3 linked regions of the Oryza sativa Japonica Group genome follow. The protein of the gene in region 2 interacts with the protein of the main gene of each other region in a pairwise test. Links are inferred from orthologs where the notes say so. Each region holds a gene or a part of one and is shown on either strand. Other genes may lie near its edges.

The links. The genes of interacting proteins can lie anywhere in the genome.
Region 1: the proteins of mitochondrial import inner membrane translocase subunit TIM17-2 (region 2) and probable esterase D14L interact in binary tests that used the Arabidopsis thaliana proteins (3 or more experiments, as listed by UniProt). The link is inferred for Oryza sativa Japonica Group from reciprocal best matches to the Arabidopsis thaliana genes TIM17-2 and KAI2.
Region 3: the proteins of mitochondrial import inner membrane translocase subunit TIM17-2 (region 2) and F-box/LRR-repeat MAX2 homolog interact in binary tests that used the Arabidopsis thaliana proteins (3 or more experiments, as listed by UniProt). The link is inferred for Oryza sativa Japonica Group from reciprocal best matches to the Arabidopsis thaliana genes TIM17-2 and MAX2.

The regions. Positions count from the first base shown.
Region 1 is NC_089037.1:18,910,953-18,915,008, forward strand, and holds the start of probable esterase D14L, read right to left. Parts: upstream 2,805-4,056; 5' UTR 2,653-2,804; coding exon 2,282-2,652; intron 1-2,281.
Region 2 is NC_089041.1:24,985,617-24,989,598, forward strand, and holds the start of mitochondrial import inner membrane translocase subunit TIM17-2, read right to left. Parts: upstream 2,803-3,982; 5' UTR 2,701-2,802; coding exon 2,029-2,700; 3' UTR 2,021-2,028; intron 1,619-2,020; coding exon of another isoform or gene 1,115-1,618; intron 1-1,114. Other genes in the region: mitochondrial import inner membrane translocase subunit TIM17-2, read right to left, coding at 1,115-1,618. UniProt on the Arabidopsis thaliana protein: Essential component of the TIM17:23 complex, a complex that mediates the translocation of transit peptide-containing proteins across the mitochondrial inner membrane. Links the inner and outer membranes.
Region 3 is NC_089040.1:2,939,689-2,943,842, forward strand, and holds F-box/LRR-repeat MAX2 homolog, read left to right. Parts: upstream 1-1,350; 5' UTR 1,351-1,360; coding exon 1,361-3,523; 3' UTR 3,524-4,093; downstream 4,094-4,154. Other genes in the region: probable thiol methyltransferase 2, read right to left, coding at 257-410. UniProt on the Arabidopsis thaliana protein: Component of SCF(ASK-cullin-F-box) E3 ubiquitin ligase complexes, which may mediate the ubiquitination and subsequent proteasomal degradation of target proteins. Promotes the senescence. Is necessary for responses to strigolactones and karrikins.

The DNA.
Region 1 (4,056 bases), on a different chromosome or scaffold from region 2:
CACTTTAAGCAACTCAGTTATGGCCTCCAGCAAGGCATGGCTTTTGGAACAGTGTTGGTTTCCAGCAAGGAAATATCCAGAAATGGAAAGATAGGGTCATTTTCCCCTTTTGGTTTGAAAGATAGGACCAATTGGGACATGACACTTGCACCATAATAAGCGAAGAAATGTGCAAAGCTATAGCATAGCAAATCTCACCAAATATATACATCGAAGGGCACTACCATGTTTCAGCACCTTTATCGCATAGCTGTTGCTTTTTGTTTTTCTTTTTTTCCCCTTTATCGCATAGCTGTTGAGTGGGCTGTTGGCATTAGCATGATAATATGTGGTTGGTACTATCCAGATGCTCTCTACTATTTGTGGTCGTGCTTGAATTAATGTTTTCAATCTGCATAAACACCTAAGGGAATGGAATTTAGTAGTACTAATTACATGGTACCAGAATCCACTAGGAGTCTATCTCAAACATACTCCCTTCGTCCCCAAATATAAGAAGTTTTAGAGTTGGACACGGTTATTAAGAAAGTAGGTAGAAGTGAATGGTGGAGGGTTGTGATAGGTTAGGAAGAGAATGTTGGTGGAAAAGTTGTTATATTTTGGGACAAATCTTGAGGGCTAAAAGTTGTTATATTTTGGGACAGAGGGAGTATTGTATTTTTGTACTACCTCCGTCCCAAAATAAGTGCAGCCGTGGATATCCGTGCCCAACGTTTGACCGTCTGTCTTATATTTGAAAAATTTGTGAAAAATTTGAAAATATTTAGTCACACATAAAGTACTATTCATGTTTTATCATCTAATAGTAATAAAAATACTAATCATAAAAAAATTTCAAATAAGACGAACGGTCAAACGTTGAACGTGAATAGTGCAAAACTACACTTATTTTGGGACGGAGGGAGTAGTATGTTACTATTTTTTTTCAAAAACGCAGGAGAACTGCGCTTCATTTCAGTAAGAAGAAATAAATATTTACAAAGGAGGGATCAACAAATCCCAAAACACATCACCCATGGGTGAGGCCCGACTAATATGTTACAATAACTGCTGCTCAAAATATCAAATAGGTTAAATTTGATGAGAACAGAAACTTATTTTCCACTCAAATCGTGGAATCATCCACGAATCCAGCTTCTGGCAAGTTTCTAGTGTTTTTCTTTTCAATTTAACTTTGTAAGCTTGGTCTAGCCTGAAGATTGGTGCTCCCTAAATTTTACTGCTTTCCTTCTCTTGTTACAAGGTCTTTTGTGGGCTCGTGTGTGTTTTGGCTGTGTGCATCCTAGTTATGCAAAGGCCAGAAGTTTTCTTAGTATGGTTCTATCAACTTGATGTAATCATCTGAGATTAGTAAAAAGCTTCCTTTATCAAAAAAAAAAATTGCAAGCTCTCAGTTCTTTTACACCTTGGAGTGTTGAAGAGTGTTAGTCCTTGTCTTGTTTTGGCAACAAATGGCTGCAAAACATTCTGGCATGTACATTACCTGCCTAGAACTGATTCCTCTAATCAGCTGATTCTAAAACCCAATCAAGAATGTATTGCCAATCTTGTTATCTTCTCTTGAGTGAAGCTCAATCTTGATATTATTTCAGCTCAGTATATTTTAGTGATAACGGAGAAGATCAATCTCAAACTAGAGGCAAAAGAATTCAATTATGTAGAGTAGGAGTAGCTAATCACATACAGCAGTACACCTTGCAAGTTGTCTGTCTTGACAATACAGCTATCTAATTTGAGATTTGGAGGTTCTATACAGCCAACGCCCCACCCGTCCATAGTTAAATCAAGGGTAAGTACCAATTGGAGATGCCTAGATTACCAGTAGCACGAAAGTTGTTAATTTGTCAGTAGAAATCAGGCACCCCTTTGAAGCAAGATCCCCTATTCTCACCCTGGCTGCAGTGAATTAAACGAGCCATAAGCCCCATGCTGATGGAGAGGCATCTACATAAGGAATCCTAGTCCAAGCGTCCAACCAATTCCCCCTGCGAGTCTCCAATTTCCCCCATGACGACAAGCCCCGCAAATCGACAGCTGATTCCTCTATGAAGACAAAAGCCGCCATCTGCCCCCAAAATCGACAAAAAATTTCCTCGTGACGTACCTCGGTACTAGTACCCATTCGGGGAGCTGTTTTTAGCCGAATTCATCACCACCAAAATTAAATTAAAGTCCAATACTCCTATTTATTCCCCAATCCATATAAGGGAGAGTAATAAAGAGTAGTATGAGATACTCGTATGCTGCTTGGTGAAGACGCAGTAGTAGAATAGAATAGTACCGAGGCGAGGCGGAGAGGAGGACGAGCTTGGAGAAGAGGTCGGGGCGGGAGATGGAGGCGATGGCGCCGATGACGGCGGAGACGGAGTGGCCGACGTAGATGCAGGAGGCGACGCGGAGCTCCTGGAGGATGGCGAGGAGGTCGAGCGCGTAGCCCTCGAGGGTGGCGTAGCGGGAGAAGTCGAAGTAGTCCGGGTTGGTCGGCCCCGCCCCCATGGTGTCGAAGAGCACCACGCGGTAGTCGGCCACCAGGTGCGGCACCAGGTGCTTCCACACCGACTGGTCCGTCCCGAACCCGTGCGCCAGCACGATCACCCCGCGCTTCCCCTCCCCCACCACCCGCAGGTTGTGCGCCTCCTCCACGATCCCCATAGCTTCCCTTCCTCCGATCCTCCTCACGCCCGGACAACACCTCTTCTTCCTCCTCCTCCTCCTCCTCGGCTCCTCGTGGTGGCGTTGCGACTCGCGACTCGGGACTGAGACAGCAGAGGCGGCGGGAGGCCGGGCGGCTGGCTGCCTTGGCTAGTGGGAAATCGGGTGGTGGGGGTTTTAAGGGCGGGGGGCGTTGGTGTGGACCGGAATCTGCCAACCGCAACGCTCTCGCCACGCGGGGTTCCACCCTCGCCTGTCGCTAAACGGTGGGTCCATACTAGCTCCTCGATGAGGGTGGGGCTGAACTTTTAAGTAACCATATTTCTCTCTGTTATTAATGAGGGTCGCGAGTCCGTAATATCTACCGCATGTGCCCTCCACGAGTATATTGAAATCGTATATCCAACTGCAAGCTTAACCCATGAGAGTATTTATTAATTAATTTATTTGTTTATCAAATGTTAAATAAATATTCCCACCCATCGAATAATTGACACTGTGACCACAAATTACGTTTAAATTATATAATGAATTAAAGTTTTATTGTTGTACTTATGACTCTACAACCTACTGCGATAATATAATATAAAGTATTTATAATTTTTTAAGGTCAGAATTTGGATTTGATTAGTGCCGGTTCTAATTAGAACAGAGGGGTATGGCAATTACTAGTATGCCTTTTACCATAAATAAATTTTTATGGAAGAAATTCTGTGGTGAACTTTCATAAGTTAATTTGTGTTTTCAGAACAAACTGAGATTTATTGTTAGTTTGTGGAGTATTAACTATTGCATCAAATCTTGCAATACGTAGGCTAGATTTTACTTTTACAATCATTTCTTGGAATATATATTTCGGACGAAACCGAGGAGCGGCCGGAGTGGAGAGCGATGCTGCGATGTCGGGGGAGGAGATGGCGACGTCAGCCAGTGCACCGGCGAGGAACAGTGGACGGCCAGAGGGTTCGGGATACTGGACACCGCTCCGGCTTTACGGTGTATTTGAGAGAAGAGGAAAGAAAGATTAAGAAGATACGTAACATGAGGCGAGATATTAGAGCATAATTAATTGAGTATTAATTATTTAAACTTAAAAATAGATTAATATGTTTTTAAAGCAACTTTGTTATAACTTATTTTTAAAAATGCACATGCTGTTTAGCCGTTTAGTAAGCGTGTGCTTGAAAAATGAGAGTATATCTTCTTTATCATTGAAACAAACGAAGCTATGATTAAGAGGATGATGTTATAAAAAATATCCTACTTTGATACTCCCTTCGATTTCATAATTCTTGACATTTTAAACACTGACATGGTCTTTAAAAATATCTTTCACCTTGTTTTTTTATTATAATATATCTTTACCTATTATAAAAATTTAAAATGTTTTTGCCTAGGGATTTC
Region 2 (3,982 bases):
AAGGTGACGCCAGCTTAGCACTTGTTGGTGCCTGGCAGAAAATATCACATCGAGAAGAACATGACAAAGGAAAAAAAAGAATAGAGAAGTAACAGCAGCCTTTAGCTCCATGAATGGGAACAAAAGAAGGCAGCAGGGGAAGAGCAGTGGAGGAGCTAATGAGGGACAGAGAAGCAACAGCAAGAGGGTGAGTTGCAGGGATGACAAAGATGGCGTTAGCGCTGTGGGAGGACAGGAGAACTGTCCTCCCTCTTGTAGGCTGTTTGGGCCTTGGAGGCTGCCTTCCCAGAATTTATTATTTCCCTTCTTTTCACCTTACCTCTCATCTTGCTCACTTGTGAGGTCGCATCCTCCTTACGTTGATTTTACTAGTAGATGGCTTAGCTTTGATTTTGCACACGTGTTCTAACATGCACCTTAAAGAAGTAAATCAGCCCAACTTCCAGATGGACATGTAAAATAAAACTCATCACAAATACAAATCAGCCCAACTTCCAGATGAACATGGGCCTGCAACACATGCTAACTTCAAGAAGTAAGACCTTCTACAACAAACTAATGCTTCAAGCAACTAAAATATCAATTGAATTACACAACAAAAGGTTCCTTTTCATGCATAGAAGTCTAGAACACATCCTTCTAGATTTCAGCAACTAACAGAATTTTGTAGAGCAGTAGAAGCAGAAAACAAACAATTGTGCTCGAGTGTAATAATAAGTCGTAACATAAACCTCCATTTATAACTATAGCTTCAAAACAACGGGGGCCATTAAATTCACTTGACCTCATGGTGCACCTAAGAACTTCGCTAAATATTAACAAAAAAGGGCCAGGACAAACATCACAGCGAATGCATCATTAAACAGTACATCCAACTAAGGACAAACAAGAAAAGGTGAAAGATGGACTCTTATAGTTCTTGTGTACATCACAAACAAACGTATAGCACAATTCCACATAGAAAATATGTTTTGCATCTACCTTACTGTGTCCTTATTTTCAAGATTGGGCAACAACCACCCGAAAGGCACTTAAAAAAGAGATATGCCTGAACAGAGGAGCATCAACAGTAGTAAAATAAAGCCCATCAGCTGAGAGATCCCCTTACAGGATTCTACTTGTACTCAAACGATGGTGGTGGTGTGCTAGGCACATCAAAAGTCTCTGGCATTTGTGGCTCCTTACAAGTCTCAGTCTTGTTGACTGGCATTGATCCAGCATCAGGTAATCTATTCATCATGATCCCAAAACTACTAACAAGGGCTAAGAGAACCGCGCCTTGCAGGGATGCACGAGCAACCGCACGTAAGCCCTGACGAGCAGCAAGAATGCCGCCGGTGGCCGCACCAGCAATGATGGAATTATAGGGGTCCTCCTTTTGACGCACAGAAACTAGGGCACAATCACAAGCTGAGAAGAGGCCACACCAAACAGCAAAGCCACCGGCAACACGTGGCGCATTCATCCGCACACCCTCCATGCCGCCAGCAAACCGTGCACCACTGGGCGAGTTGCGGAGACCCTTGACGAAGTGGAAGAAAGAACCTCCCACTGCACCCATGCCAAAAGACGCACCAATATCATCAAGGATGCGATCTGGGCATGGATCCCTTTCCATTGAAGGACGAGCCTGATGCATTGTAGTTAACCCGGATAGCTCCACCGGAGGAATCGATTGCTTGCTCGTCGACTCGTCGAGGACAAAGGAATCAATTGGAGAACGCGAGCGAACAACTCTCTAGGGCTCAAACCTACGCGCCGAAACACCAGAGAAGATATATAGCGCGACCAAATTGCTTCCTCGGATATAGGAAACTACTAACCTTCTTGCTGGACACGAGGTATAAATAAATAAATAAATAAATAAAAACAAATCAGAGACGGAACACGCGTATCCTTCCGCGGCACGAACACGAACTCCCTAAATCCGAGCCGAATCGAACAAAAATAAAGGAAACAAAACGCGAGGATATCGAATCGGATATGAATTGAAGATCGAAAACTTTCTTATGTCGCTCACCTTCTTCTTCACTTGTACTCGAAGGTTGGGATCGGAGTGCTCGGCGTGTCGAAGCTCTCCAACATCTCCGACTTGCCGCCGCTCGGGCTCGCCTTCTTCTCCTCCTCCTTCTTGCCGAACAGGCTCCCGAACCATCCACTCCCACCGCCGCTGGAGCTCGCGACCTCAGGTGGCGCCACGGGGACCTGCGGGATCCCGGGGATCCCGCCGCCGCCGCCCATGACGGCGGGGAGGTTGGGGTCATCGACGGGGAGCGGCGGGGGCGTGGCGAGGACGCGGTTGAGCATGAGGCCCGCGCCCTCGATGAGGGCGAGCAGCATCCCGCCCATGAGCGCGGAGCGGCCGGCGGCGCCGGGGCCCTGGCGCATGGAGAGGAAGCCGCCGGTGGCGGCGCCGGCGATGATGGAGTTCCAGGGGTCCTCCTTCTGGCGCATGAAGACCATGGTGCAGTCGAAGGCGGAGAAGAGGCCGCCCCACACCGCGAAGCTGCCGCCGACGCGGGGCGCGTTCATCCGCACCGCCTGCGCGCCGCCGACGAGGCGCTCGCCGTTGGGGGAGTTGTAGGTGCCCTTGAGGAAGTGGAAGAGGGAGCCCCCCACCGCGCCCATCCCGAACGCCCCGCCCACGTCGTCCAGGATCCGGTCCGGGCACGGCTCCCTCGACGTCTCCGGCGTCCCCATGGCAACTCCGGCTAGTCGGCGGCGGCGGCGGCGAAACCCTAGCTCGGGGAGGAGAAATGGGAGGAGGAGGGCTTCGTCAAAGCGAGCTTGGATTTCTCCTTCTCTCACTCTTCTCTCGTGTCTTTATTTATTCGGTGCGTGTCGGAGGCGGCTTCTCTCGCTGCGAGTGGGCCCCGATGATTGGTGGGGCCCACTGTCATAGACACGTTCCCGGTTCCCCGCGAGGTGGAGGCGGTGGTGCGGCCGAACGGTGGGAGATATTTTCGGCGGCCGGCGCGCGCGTGAGAGGCCTCTGGATGTAGGCCCAGGTACGGAATTCAGCCCAACTTCAGAGTTAGAGCGCTAATTTCAGCCCAAATAGAGAGCGAATAGCATCAGTTTCAGCCCAAGGTTGAGTGAGCGAGATTTGAGCCCACTAAGCTATGTAGGTGAAGCCCTACTGGATATCGATGTCTGAATCGTGCAAAGTGAAAACGGGAAATGCTGGATATCCATGATTCAATTAAAACTACTCAGATCTGAGTTGGAAGTGCCATGTGATCGATCATTACTTCACGGCATCACGGCGAGCTGGATGACCTGCCATATGACCAGCAAGCTTATCAAGTTATCATCCCATTTCAGAATGTTCCGACCTTGTTTAGTTCCTAATTTTTTTTCCCAAAAACATCTCATCGAATTTTTGAAGTATTACATATAGATAAAATGAAAAACTAATTGCACAGTTTGTATGGAAATCGCGAGACAAATCTTTTGAGCCTAATTAGTCCATAATTAGATATAAGTGCTACGGTAACCCGCATGTGCTAAAGACGGATTAATTAGGCTTAATAAAATCGTCTCGTGGTTTCCAAGTGAGTTATGAAATTATTTTTTTTTCATTCGTGTCCAAAAACCCCTTCCTACATCTGGTTAAACGTCTGATGTGACACTCAAAAATTTTCTTTTCGCTAACTAAACAAGGCCTCAAAACCGGAATTCACACCCACCCACAATCATCTCCTCCTAGAAACAATTCAGTCAGTCAGATTCACCGCGGTCAACTCATCACGTCAGTTAAAACCAGGCAAAATATCGCCTGCGACCTCGGGGTAATTTGGTGTAGCAAGTTATTAAGGGACACGTTATATTTGATATTATGCTTCAAGTACATGATTTAAACTCGACATAAATATGGGTAGCCTAAAATGAACTTATTCCTTTTAGGCGCGCGTGTGTTCATGCTCGCTGTTGGACTTGTAATCTGTCTGAACTCTGGATGCCCCCATGCTCAATTAATCAG
Region 3 (4,154 bases), on a different chromosome or scaffold from region 2:
AAGAATCCCTTTCTACTGCCTCATTTTTCCTCCTCTTCAACACTAGGCCAAACAAATTTCCCCAACTACTCGCCCCCAACTCAATGATCCAATCCGCCCACACCCACCACCACCCGCACATGCGATACCATGACCCAAACCTATAAACCCCCCCCCCCCCCCCCCCTCTCCTCAATTCCAACTCCCCCAAGTCCCCAACCAACAACCACCAGAGAGAGACAGAGAGAGCGAGGGGGAGAGCCCGATCCATCCTCACCTGCCGCGTCCCCGCGCTGCACGAGCTCCCGCAGCCTCCCCACCGCCGGGTTATTGCTCGGGTCCCTTCCGCCGCCGCCGCCCACCCTCGCCGCCGACGAGCTCATCGACGCGAAGAACCCGAAGCCGAGGCGAGAGCGAGGCAGCGCGTGCATACGGCTCGTAATAATAATGATAATGACTAATTACTCCTCCGTTTCATACAGGTTCATATTATAAATGGAATGATTTTTTTAGTGAAATTTTATTAAGTTTGATCAAATTTATAGAAAAGATTTAGTAATATATAAAATATTAAATTGGTTTTATTAAATCTTATATTGAATATGTTTTAATAATGTGTTTGTTTTGGGTTAAAAACCATACTATATTTTTTATAATCTTATCAACCAACATTAACTTAGAAAAAGAGTCAAATACTCCCTTCGTTTAAAGTCAAACAACTTAAAGTTTAACCAAGTTTATAGAAAAAAATAGTAACATATTTAACCCAAGACAATTTATTATGAAAATATATTCAATTATTGATTTGGCTAAACTAATTTAGTATTATAAATATTACTATATTTGTCTATAAATATAGTCAAACTTTTGTAACCTGAAATAACCTGTACTCCCTCCGTCTCATTTCAAGTGCAGCCATGGTTTTCCGAGCCCAGCTTTGATTTCGTTTTATTTAAAAAAATTTAAAATCATAAGTCACGAGTAAAGTACTATTCATGTTTTATCATCTCATAATAATAAAAATATTAATTATAAAAAAAAATAAATAACACGAACGATCAAATTGAGCGTGGAAAGTTGCACTTAAAATGGAACGGATGGAGTATTGTGAAACGGAGGGTACTGTTAAAAAAGGAAAAGGTGAGGGTGTAATTATAAAAGTGGAAACGAAACGAGACGAAATAATTTAATCCGAAGGGGATAAGAGGATAAAATTATCAAAAAAATAAAAAGAAGGAAAAAAAAAAGGGAGAGCTGTCGAGTATATCACTTCGCTGTGTGGCTTCTCGTCCCCACTCGCTTCACCCCAAATCCCTCAACGGCAGCAAGAGAGAGAAAGAAGAGAGAGAGAGAGAGAGAGAGAGAGGAGTAGACGTCGCCCATGGCGGAAGAGGAGGAGGTGGAGGAGGGGAGGTCCTCGTCGTCGGCGATACTGGACCTGCCGGAGCCGCTGCTGCTGCACATCCTGAGCTTCCTGACGGACGTGAGGTCTCGGCACAGGGCGGCGCTGGCGTGCGGGAGGATGCGGGCGGCGGAGCGGGCGACGAGGTCGGAGCTCTCGCTGAGGGGCGACCCGAGGTCGCCGGGGTTCCTGTTCCTCTCGCACGCGTTCCGCTTCCCGGCGCTGGAACACCTCGACCTCTCGCTCGTCTCGCCGTGGGGGCATCCGCTTCTCTCCTCCGTGCCGCCCTGCGGCGGCGGCGGCGGCGGCGCGCCCTCGGCGTCGTCGTCGTCGGGGATGAACGTGTACCACCCCGAGGCGATCTCCGAGCAGAACGCCTTCATCGCCGCCCGCCTCGCGGGCTGCTTCCCGGCGGTGACCTCGCTCGCCGTCTACTGCCGCGACCCCACCACGCTCGCCAACCTCACCCCGCACTGGCAGGCCTCCCTCCGCCGCGTCAAGCTCGTGCGCTGGCACCAGCGCCCGCCCACCCTCCCCGACGGCGCGGATCTCGAGCCGCTGCTGGAGACCTGCGCCGCGCTCCGGGAGCTCGACCTGTCGGAGTTCTACTGCTGGACCGAGGACGTCGTGAGGGCGCTCACCACGCACCCTTCCGCCACCGCGGCGCTCACCCACCTCGACCTCGGCCTCGCCGCCGCCACCGACGGCTTCAAATCCTCCGAGCTTGGGCCAATCGCGGCCTCCTGCCCCAACCTCCGCAAGCTCGTGGCGCCATGCTTGTTCAACCCACGGTTCAGCGATTGCGTCGGCGACGACGCGCTGCTCTCGCTGGCCACCAGCTGCCCGCGGCTGACCGTCTTGCGGCTCAGCGAGCCGTTCGAGGCTGCGGCCAACATCCAGAGGGAGGAGGCGGCCATCACCGTTGCGGGGCTAGTCGCCTTCTTCGCGGCGCTCCCCGCGCTGGAGGATTTCACCATGGATCTCCAGCACAATGTGCTGGAGGCCGCGCCCGCGATGGAGGCGCTTGCCCGAAGGTGCCCGCGGATCAAGTTCTTGACCCTGGGTTCCTTCCAGGGGCTGTGTAAGGCCTCTTGGTTGCATCTTGATGGTGTTGCGGTGTGCGGTGGGCTGGAGTCACTTTACATGAAGAATTGCCAGGATCTCACGGATGCCAGCCTTGCGGCAATTGGCCGTGGGTGCCGGAGGCTTGCTAAGTTCGGCATCCATGGCTGTGACCTTGTCACTTCGGCTGGGATCAGGAGGCTTGCATTCACGCTTCGGCCTACTCTCAAGGAAGTCACTGTCTTGCACTGCCGGCTTCTGCACACTGCAGAATGTCTCACTGCTCTAAGTCCGATCCGTGATCGCATTGAAAGTCTTGAGATCAACTGTGTCTGGAACACAACCGAACAACCCTGCAGTGTTGCAAATGGCACCACCACCGAATGCGATCCTGAGGATGATGAGCTTGGTGAAGTGTACGAGTCTGCAGCCAAGAAATGTAGGTACATGGAATTTGATGATCTTGGAAGCTGGGAGATGCTCAGGTCACTCTCCCTATGGTTCTCTGCTGGCCAGCTTCTCTCTCCGCTCATTTCTGCTGGTCTCGATAGCTGTCCCGTGCTTGAGGAGATCTCAATTAAGGTGGAGGGTGATTGCCGGACATGCCCACGACCTGCTCCAAGAACAATTTTTGGCTTAAGTGATCTTGCAGGCTTCCCAGTATTAGCCAAGATGAAATTGGACCTCAGTGAAGCTGTGGGTTATGCACTTACTGCACCAACAGGGCAGATGGATCTTTCACTATGGGAGCGATTTTATTTGCATGGTATCGAATCACTGCAGACTTTGTATGAATTGGACTACTGGCCGCCCCAAGACAAGGATGTGCACCACCGGAGCCTGACATTGCCAGCCGTGGGATTGATCCAACGCTGCGTTGGACTCAGGAAGCTTTTCATCCATGGCACCACACATGAGCACTTCATGACCTTCTTCCTTTCAATTCCAAACTTGCGGGACATGCAGTTGCGGGAGGACTATTATCCAGCCCCAGAGAATGATCTGATGTTCACAGAGATGCGGGCTGAATCTTGGCTTAGGTTTGAGGTGCAACTGAACAGCCGGCAAATTGATGATTAGTTATGTGGGCACAAAATGGTTTGAAGCTGAATACAGAGATTTATCTGGATGGTGCCATTGCTCCACTGTGCAATGGCAGGGGATTCCTGGTGAGTTGGTTATGATTATGGGTGGAGTCGTGTGTATTGCTGCAGTGCCATTGAGGAGAGTAGTATACTGGCAGCACTTGGATCTGTCAGCAAAGTAACCTTCTCCAGTTGCTTTTTTACCCCCTTTTTGATGTAATAAGAGAGTTGGGTCGGAAATGAGATATTTGCAGGAGATAAGATTATAAATTAGGCTTCATGGAAAATTTTCCAAGAAAAAAAAACATTTTGTTTTTAAGATGGTCTGAGTTGTGAACACCGGCAAGAGTAATTGGCAAATTGGCATGGTTCTAGCGGTTTGTAACATTTGAACTCTGTAAACAAAAGAAAAACGCCACTCGCTTTTCTTATGCCCTTTGCTTCATGGGTGAAAGTGGCTCATCTAATATTGGTCAGTGTTTTACTGTTTTCAATGGATGGGCAACGGAGTTCAGTACTACTGCGATAGGAAACTATTTTGATGTGTACATAACAGCTCTATTAATCCAAAATTATGTGCCTTTGCTCTTTGAGTTTATTTCTGTCCCTTTCCTTTTCCATTTCAT